Linked DNA regions of Xenopus tropicalis. The protein of the gene in region 2 purifies or fractionates together with the protein of the main gene of each other region. This does not show direct contact. Links are inferred from orthologs where the notes say so. Each region holds a gene or a part of one and is shown on either strand. Other genes may lie near its edges.

Evidence for each region. The genes of interacting proteins can lie anywhere in the genome.
Region 1: the proteins of rad23b (region 2) and psmb7 fractionate together in Homo sapiens (co-fractionation; 3 studies listed by BioGRID, with this or other methods). This does not show direct contact. The link is inferred for Xenopus tropicalis from reciprocal best matches to the Homo sapiens genes RAD23B and PSMB7.

Annotation. Positions count from the first base shown.
Region 1 is NC_030684.2:29,140,227-29,143,882, forward strand, and holds part of psmb7 (proteasome subunit beta type-7), read left to right. Parts: intron 1-3,214; coding exon 3,215-3,330; intron 3,331-3,656. UniProt on the Homo sapiens protein: Component of the 20S core proteasome complex involved in the proteolytic degradation of most intracellular proteins. This complex plays numerous essential roles within the cell by associating with different regulatory particles.
Region 2 is NC_030677.2:120,684,447-120,688,838, forward strand, and holds the start of rad23b (UV excision repair protein RAD23 homolog B), read left to right. Parts: upstream 1-1,467; 5' UTR 1,468-1,740; coding exon 1,741-1,806; intron 1,807-4,392. UniProt on the Homo sapiens protein: Multiubiquitin chain receptor involved in modulation of proteasomal degradation. Binds to polyubiquitin chains.

The DNA.
Region 1 (3,656 bases), on a different chromosome or scaffold from region 2:
CATTTTGGCACCCCCAGGTGACTTAGCCTTTTCTTCTCCTTTAAATTAACTTTTATTATGATGTAGGCATATTCTGAGAAAATTTTCAATTGGTCTAAATTGTTTGATTTGTATAGTTTGTGCATTATTTAGCTGTTTGTTCAGCATTTCTCCAGTTTGAAATTTTAGCAGCTATCTGGTTGCCTTGTCTTATGCACCCTAGCAACCACGCAGTGGATTCAACGAGAGATGGGAATATGAGTAGGAGAGCGCCTGCATAAAAAATATATGTAATAGGAAGTTACAATAACAATAAAACTGTAGCCTCACAAAGAAATAGTTTTTGGCTGCTGGGGTTAGTGAACCCTGTTTGAAAGCTGGCAAGAGGCAGAACAGGAAAGCAAAGGGAATTCAAAATCTATAACATATACACATTGAAGACCAATTGCAACGTTGCTAGGAATTGGGTATTGTATTCTATAATAAAAGTGAAGGTAAAAGTAAATAATCCCTTTAAAGGGGAAAGAAAGGTAAGCTTTATCAAAAAAGGTCTATGTAAATACAGCCATAAGCACTCGCAGAAAAGCTGCACTGAGTTCTCTATCAAAAGAAACACAGGATTTCTTGTCTTTTGTATATACATAGACCTTTCTGATAAAGCTTACTTAGTTTTTATTTTTCTCCTTTACAATATCCCATGGTGTGGGTGATATGATCTGGGAGAGTCATTCATTAGCAGGGAGGTAATAGTGGTTAACAAAAAACGCACGTCCTTAAAGTTCAGTCGTTCCTATCTAGTTTGCATCTGTTACATACACTCTTGATTGAAAGCTTGTATTAAAGAAAACCAATGGCTAGCTTACCTCTTCTAATAGTTTTCAAACCAGATAAAAAAAAAAACTTTGGGGGCAGTTGATTTTAACACTTGAAACCAAATGTTGCATCACACATTACCTAAGTACAGGTATAGGACCTGTTATCCTGAAACTTGTTATGCAGAAAGCTCCAAATAACGGGAAGGCCATCTCCCATAGACTCCATTTGAATCAAATATTTCCAATTTTTTAATATGAAGTCTCTGTAAAACAAGTACATTGGTAATTGATCCCAAATAAGATATAATTTAATCCTTATTTGAAACAAAACAATACTTTTTTAGCAGGCTTAAGCCATGTTGACCAAATAAAGACCTCTTATTCAAGCATTCTGGATAACAGGTCCCACACCTGTACAATTTTTATATAAGCATTTTTCATAGTACCAAGCATATTTACTCAGTGTATTAAAGGTGTAGAAGATGGAAGCCCTGATTATGATTTCCTTAGTCCCCATACTAAGCGTACATTGGATAAAAATGTAGCTCTATGATATTAACGCAGCAAGCCACACATACCATGATGCTTTCATATACATGCTCTTTTCAAAGAGAGGTAACAAATCTTTAATAAACCAGTGCTTAGTGTTCTCTACTTCAACAATATTTGTTTCTGTTACTGTAAATGTGAATGGTGAGCCTTTAAGATTATACTAAAAAAAAAAAATGACAGAGAAATGTAAAAAGGGCACGTATATAACATTCCATAGCACCAAGGTATATTGACCATGGTCTGGGAACCTGTTTTTCCCATCCATAAGGTATATAAACCACAGCCAGGGAGTGTGGTTCTAGACTCCACAGTGGTATACATTCCAGTGTCATGTGTTTCTATAACCCTTGGGCAGATATGTGACAACATTTGGGAGGCGTGGCTTAACACAGACATATATAAACTATAGTCTTGAAAACTTTCTTTAGCAGCAATTGTATTAAAGTACTATGCATAATTTTCTGGGAATCCTATATTTTCCCTAAAAATCGTATGATTCTCTGCTGTCTAAGGAGCCAATAAGAGTAAAAAAAAAAAAAAAAAAAAGTATCATACCCTCGGAATTGGGTCTTAGTACAGGTATGGGACCTGTTATCCAGAATGCTTGGGGCCTGGGGTTTTCCGGATAAAGGGATCTTTCTGTGATTTGGATCTCCATTACTTAAATTGCTAAAAATCATTTAAATATTGAATAAACCCAATAGGATTGTTTTGCCTCCAATAAGGATTAATTACATCTTAGTTGCGATCTAGTACAAGGTACTGTTTAATCATCACAGAGAAAAAGGAAATAATATTTTAAAATTAGAATTATTTGCTTATAATGGAATTCGGAACTTTCTGGATAACTGGTTTCCGGATAAGGGGTCCTATACCTGTGTTGTCATTCTGTATATAAGATACTTGTGCATAGGGTTTAATTACATTACATTAATAGTGTTCAGCTTTTCTCCTACACTAGCTACTAAGGATGATGGGAGTTATAGTTTGATAATAGCTAAAAGACTGCAAGCTGAGCTTGCCACCCCCTTCGCAGTTACATGCGGCAGTAGCTTCCGAAGTGTTCAAAGGGAGCTGAAATGCAAGCCATGCGTATTCTTTTTAGTGACAACCCCTAACATTTCTATTTTCCTGGCGTCTGTCTTATCATCAGCTGTTGTTCCAAAGCTCCACTTTGCTGGAATTTAGTAGCATTGTCTGTATTTGAGATTGAATTGCTTCTCATTGTGTTCATTTGTCTGACAAGGCAAAGTAAGCAGGGGGAAAGGCTCTGCATGGCAGCTCCAGCATGAAATATTTATATGCAGTGTAACAGAGGAGCAGTTTAATTCTGCAAGGAATGTTCAGCCGCTCTAGGCAGGCACCACACATCTCCGCTTGAAACAGATGAGTGTACATCATTTTAAAGATATAAGGAAGGGAGATCAGGGGATTTGCCTCTGGCTTAGTGTCAAATATCCAACTTTCGCAATTCACTTCCTTTGGATACTTTGTTTTTAGTGAGTTTGAAAGAGTGTCAAGCAGAAAAGTGCTTTGTACTATTTAAATTATGAGATTAAGACAAAGCTGCTATCTCGTTTAGTTGAATCCGCTGTTGGGAGATCAACCCTTTTGCTGCCACAAGTGCAAGCTGCACTATACTAAGACATATTCATGTAAGTTTTACAGTGTATAAGGTGTCCACAGTTGGAATAGTTTACAGATGCAAAATATGTAGGTCATAACTGAGGTTGTTTGGGGTTTAAGATTCGTTTTATTCTATTTAGAATATTTCATAGGAAGCGAGCCCACTTTAAAGTCAACAGTAGAATTCAACATAAGAAATGTCTGTTGTTGCAGCATCTGAAAATATTGTATTTTGCTTGTAGGTATCAAGGTTATATTGGTGCTGCGCTGGTACTGGGTGGAGTGGACTGTACTGGGCCCCATCTGTACAGCATTTACCCTCATGGATCCACTGACAAGCTTCCCTACGTTACTATGGGTGAGTAACATTCTTCCCCGCTTTAAAGACAATTCTTTTTATACATATTATATTGCTGGCTTCTATTAGGCATAGGCATAATTGCAAAATTATTGAATTTTTTTTTTTAGACCTTCTTTAGTAGAGAAGGTACACTGATGCCCCCACAACGCTACTTATAAGTTAAATAAGCAAGACAGGCAGCCGATATTTATTATAATGTGACTACTAGGGTCCAAAGATAGTAATCCCGCCAGTCCAATGTTTTACTGAGTGAATTATATTTACTTGATAAATAATCACCCTTTTCACTCTTTCATACATTTTTCTGTTGCAGTATTTTAACA
Region 2 (4,392 bases):
ATTTGCATCTGATCCCGCCATTTCAACTATATAAAAGGAGTATTTTTAGAAAAAAATGGGGTGTGTTAATTGGGGCGTGGCCACAAAAGTGGGCATGGTCAAAAAAATTTGCCGCGCTGTGCGTGCCAAATCTTTTTGCCTCTCTTTTCAGTTTTCAAATGTTGGGAGGTATGAGCCTGGCCAAAAGAAAGTCACCATACCGAAGATTGAATGAATTCCGAAAAGGTCGCAGTCTTTCCAAAAAATACGACTTTTTCGTGGAAGTTATTGAAAACCATGAAAAAGTCGTACTATTTTAACAATATTATTGTGGTCATTCTGAAAAGTTCTAAAAATTCGAAGAAATATGAATTTTTCTGAAAAAAAAATTGTGGTTTAATAAATGGTTTAATGTGCTGGTGGGGGGGCTGTTTGGGCCTCTATGTACTTGAAATGAAAGGGTCTATTTTGAATCCCAGTCCAGTCCTGGTGCTGGGTATTATGGGGTCAGCACATTACCTAAATTCCAGTATTACATGAAATAAAACTAGCATCAAGGCATGCTGTGCCGGTTCTATCATATTACAAAAATAAAAATCTAGCACATACCTTTTTATAACATCCTTATTTTGCATCTACAGGTTTAGGAAGCAGATATATCAATTTCTGGTCATGTTTCAGTATTTTACTTTTCATACTTCTCTGTTTGAGTTTGAAATGAAGAGTGGGCGTGTCCTAACGGTCCCTGCCAGAAGTACAGTAGGAGGGGGAGAGCCAATCACAGCCCTGCACTCACACAAGCACAGACAGACTTCAGTTCCCTATCAGGTCAGCCTAGTTGCTGATTGGTTCCTATCCTACAGTGCAGGGTACTGAGGGCCCCAAGGCTCATCCAGAGAATTCAGCCAGCAAGAAGTGGAACAGATGGGCGGGGTTAGTGGGAGTTTTGTGGAATTTCTCAATAAATCAGTCTGAAACACTACTTTTTTAAGCACAATCCTTCTATATCTAGAGGAGTATAATTCCCTGGTACATTCTTCATTTTTATAGGATATGTCTCCTTTAAATTTGCATTCATCTGGAGTTAAATTGAAACACAAAACCAGTTTCTGCTAATACCTCTCTCTGGAGGTAATGACATGTTCTAATTTATGATATATTCTCTTTATTAGTTACCCTTATCAATAACATTGTTTTACCCAGCCCTTGTAACACAAGTCTGGGTGTTTGCGACCTTACGGTAAGTCGCTGCTCCTTCACTGCTGATTCATGCTGTGCACACAGTGTGTGAGTGACATGACACAATTTGCCTAGTAAGCTTAGAGGCCGGAACGAGTTCTACTAATAGAAAAAATCCTGAACGCAGAACGCGCAGTGACATCACCGCACGAAGTGACAGCTCATGGCTGTCATTGAGAGCCGCACGCCCCACCCACTCGGCCGCACCGTAGCCCCGCCCCCTGGCGCAGGCGCGCAAGTTCCTAGTCTCGCGCGTCTCCAGTCAGCGGAGTCACGATGGCGGCGGACAGGCCGTACTAATGAGACAGCGAAATAAGCGCTGGACACTGTACTTCATAGCCGTACATTTAGCGATCGGCGGACTGTAGAAGAGTAACGGGGAGGAGTCTTCTTTACTTCCAACACGGATAAAGCGTCTCCGAGTCGGATATACTGCGTGTCTAGAGAGGGGAGTGCGCCTTCTATCACACTGCAGCAGGCTGAACATCAGGCCGGAGCTGGGGACAGCATACGACAGCAGCCATGCAGATCACTCTGAAGACCCTTCAGCAGCAAACATTTAAGATAGACATCGACGGAGAGGAGACGGTAAAGTCTGCAGCCTCAGGGTTCCACTAAGCATTATGGGGCCTTGCACACAGTATTTGAATGTCGCACAACAGCTGCTCATAAAACGGGGGGGTGGGGTTGTTTTTACACTGGCCAAGAGGGCTTTATCAACGTGCAGGAGCGCTAGAGAAATCTTTGTCTATTTTGGGGTATCCTGCGCGAACTAGTAGTTGGGACGTGGGTAGGGGGCGCGCTAATGTGGGAGCTTTCTCCCTAGCTCGCCTTACAGGCAGATACCGGGCACGTGACCCTGGCTGGGGAAGGGGGGGCGCCACAGTCACGTGGTGCCCGGGGCAAAGCTGCTCTCTGTTGTTTATGGGCGCTGGATGAGTTTGCATTATCGATCTGAGGGATTGCATGTCCTGCGTTCCCAGCTTCCTTTGTGGCTAGAGTAGTCATGTAGTTGGCAGGGGGTCATAAAGCAGTTTATTAATGAATGTGGTGGGAGTAGTATTAGTGCACAACTGGCATTTTATGCAGTAAATAAAGTCAGTGTTGTGCATTTTGGATATTCATATTTTTGAATATCGGCCCTGATCGATTTATAGTGTCTTGTATATAATATACATGTGTGTGTGTGTGTGTATTTATACATTTCAAGGGGATGCACAATGCATATAACATACCACACAATAATGATGTATTCCCATAATGCTGGAAACATGTTGGTAAGTATGCAGACATTAAAGAAGCAAGACATTAAGCCCCTCTCAAATATGTAGCAGGGGTACAGTCATTTTTTTGAGACATGCCAGAAATGGTTGTAACAGAACAAACCTATTTTGCAGGCTCCCTTAAACTCACTACAGACTGTACACATTTGTTGAAATTATTATTTAGGATCCCCAGAGGGTCTCTTGTCACCACCTCTTCCTTTGGAATTAAAGTGACAATGTTTAAGGGATACTGTCAGCACATAATTACCCTCTTTCATGACAATACCATTTTTAACACAAGCTTAATATCATGCACAGTGCTTTCCAAAAACATTTGCCCATCTGCAACAGGTGTTGCATGTCATTGGCCGATAAGCGCTCTTTATTTTTTGGTATAGTGGAGTAGTGGTCCTCAAACTGGGCTGGCCCTCCTTGGGGATCCCAGAGTAATGAATGTGAGGTCCTGCCTGAAGACCAGGTAATGTGGTGAGCATTAGTTTTTACTTTAATAAAGAATACAAAAGTCCAATTAAATGGTATTCGAGTAAGATTTTTGATAAGCATCCTAACTTTTGTGCCTCAAAGGCATACTTGAACCAAAGAAAGTATGAAACTAACTGCATTAGAGGTTTAGATTTTATATATTTATAGTTTATAAGTACAGTGCATCTGTGTACATTGCCTGAAACAAGCCTCCTTATCTGTTACAGTCTCTCTGTTAAATGTAATGTCATATGAATGGTTTTCTCTGTTAATCTATTGATGTACTTGCCAGGAACCAACCAGCCAACAAATTATATATGTATGTGTATATATATATATATATATATATATATATCCAAAAAAGACCAGCAACACCGAGTTATATTCCAAAAACAATCAATTGTGTATTAAAAACACATGAACAGCCAACGTTACGTTTCGGTCCCCATCGGGACCTTTCTCAAGGCCCCGATGGGGACCGAAACGTAACGTTGGCTGTTCATGTGTTTTTAATACACAATTGATTGTTTTTGGAATATAACAACTCGGTGTTGCTGGTCTTTTTTGGATATTTAAATCATTTACCTTGCACCCGAGCTAAGAGCTGAAGCAGAGTGCCACCCTGGGTTCGCTATATATATGTATATATATATATGTATATAAATTTTATTAAAATAAGAAAAAAACAAGAAATATATTCTGCACATGTCTCATTCATTCATAAACAGTTGTGTAGTCATGGGGGCAGCCAGTCAAGTTGAAAAGTAACATTTACACAGCAAGGGGGAAACTGCCACTTTAAATGCCCATTAAACCTTTCCATTCCATGTAGTAATGAAGTAAAATAGATAAGTTTTTGAAAACTGATTTACTTACATTTTGAATAGGTTTTAGTCACCTTTTTTTCACATGCATTTGATAGCTTAGAGTAGCAGTTAAGGTGGCCATATACAGGCCAACAAAAGCTGTCCTTTCAGTCCTTCTGGAATCTACAGCTTTTTGGCCTGATGCCTTTTTGGATGATGCCATCCGAAAGACCTGCCCAACCACTATCTGGCCAAAAAATTTTTGAATCCGCTGATATGCCTGAAGTTTGGCATTGTGGTGAAAGATACACTTATTTGACAACCTCGCCAAACAATCAGATCTTAGCGCGTATGGTCCGCTTTATACTGTATGTCACCTAGGTCTCACAAACACACCCTGGCCTTCTGCAATAAGCCTGGTGCTCAGCCCTTTTGGGAGATGGCACGCCCTCCTAGTCTAGTAGACCACACAACAGGCATTTGCAAACTTGGGCCTAGCCCCAAGTTTTTATTAAGTCAAATTAAGATCCAGCATTTTGGGGCTATCACTGATTAGCAAAGTGAATAAGATGGCAAGCAAAGGAAACAAAACCACATTGGTTTAAATTAAAAGGTACTGT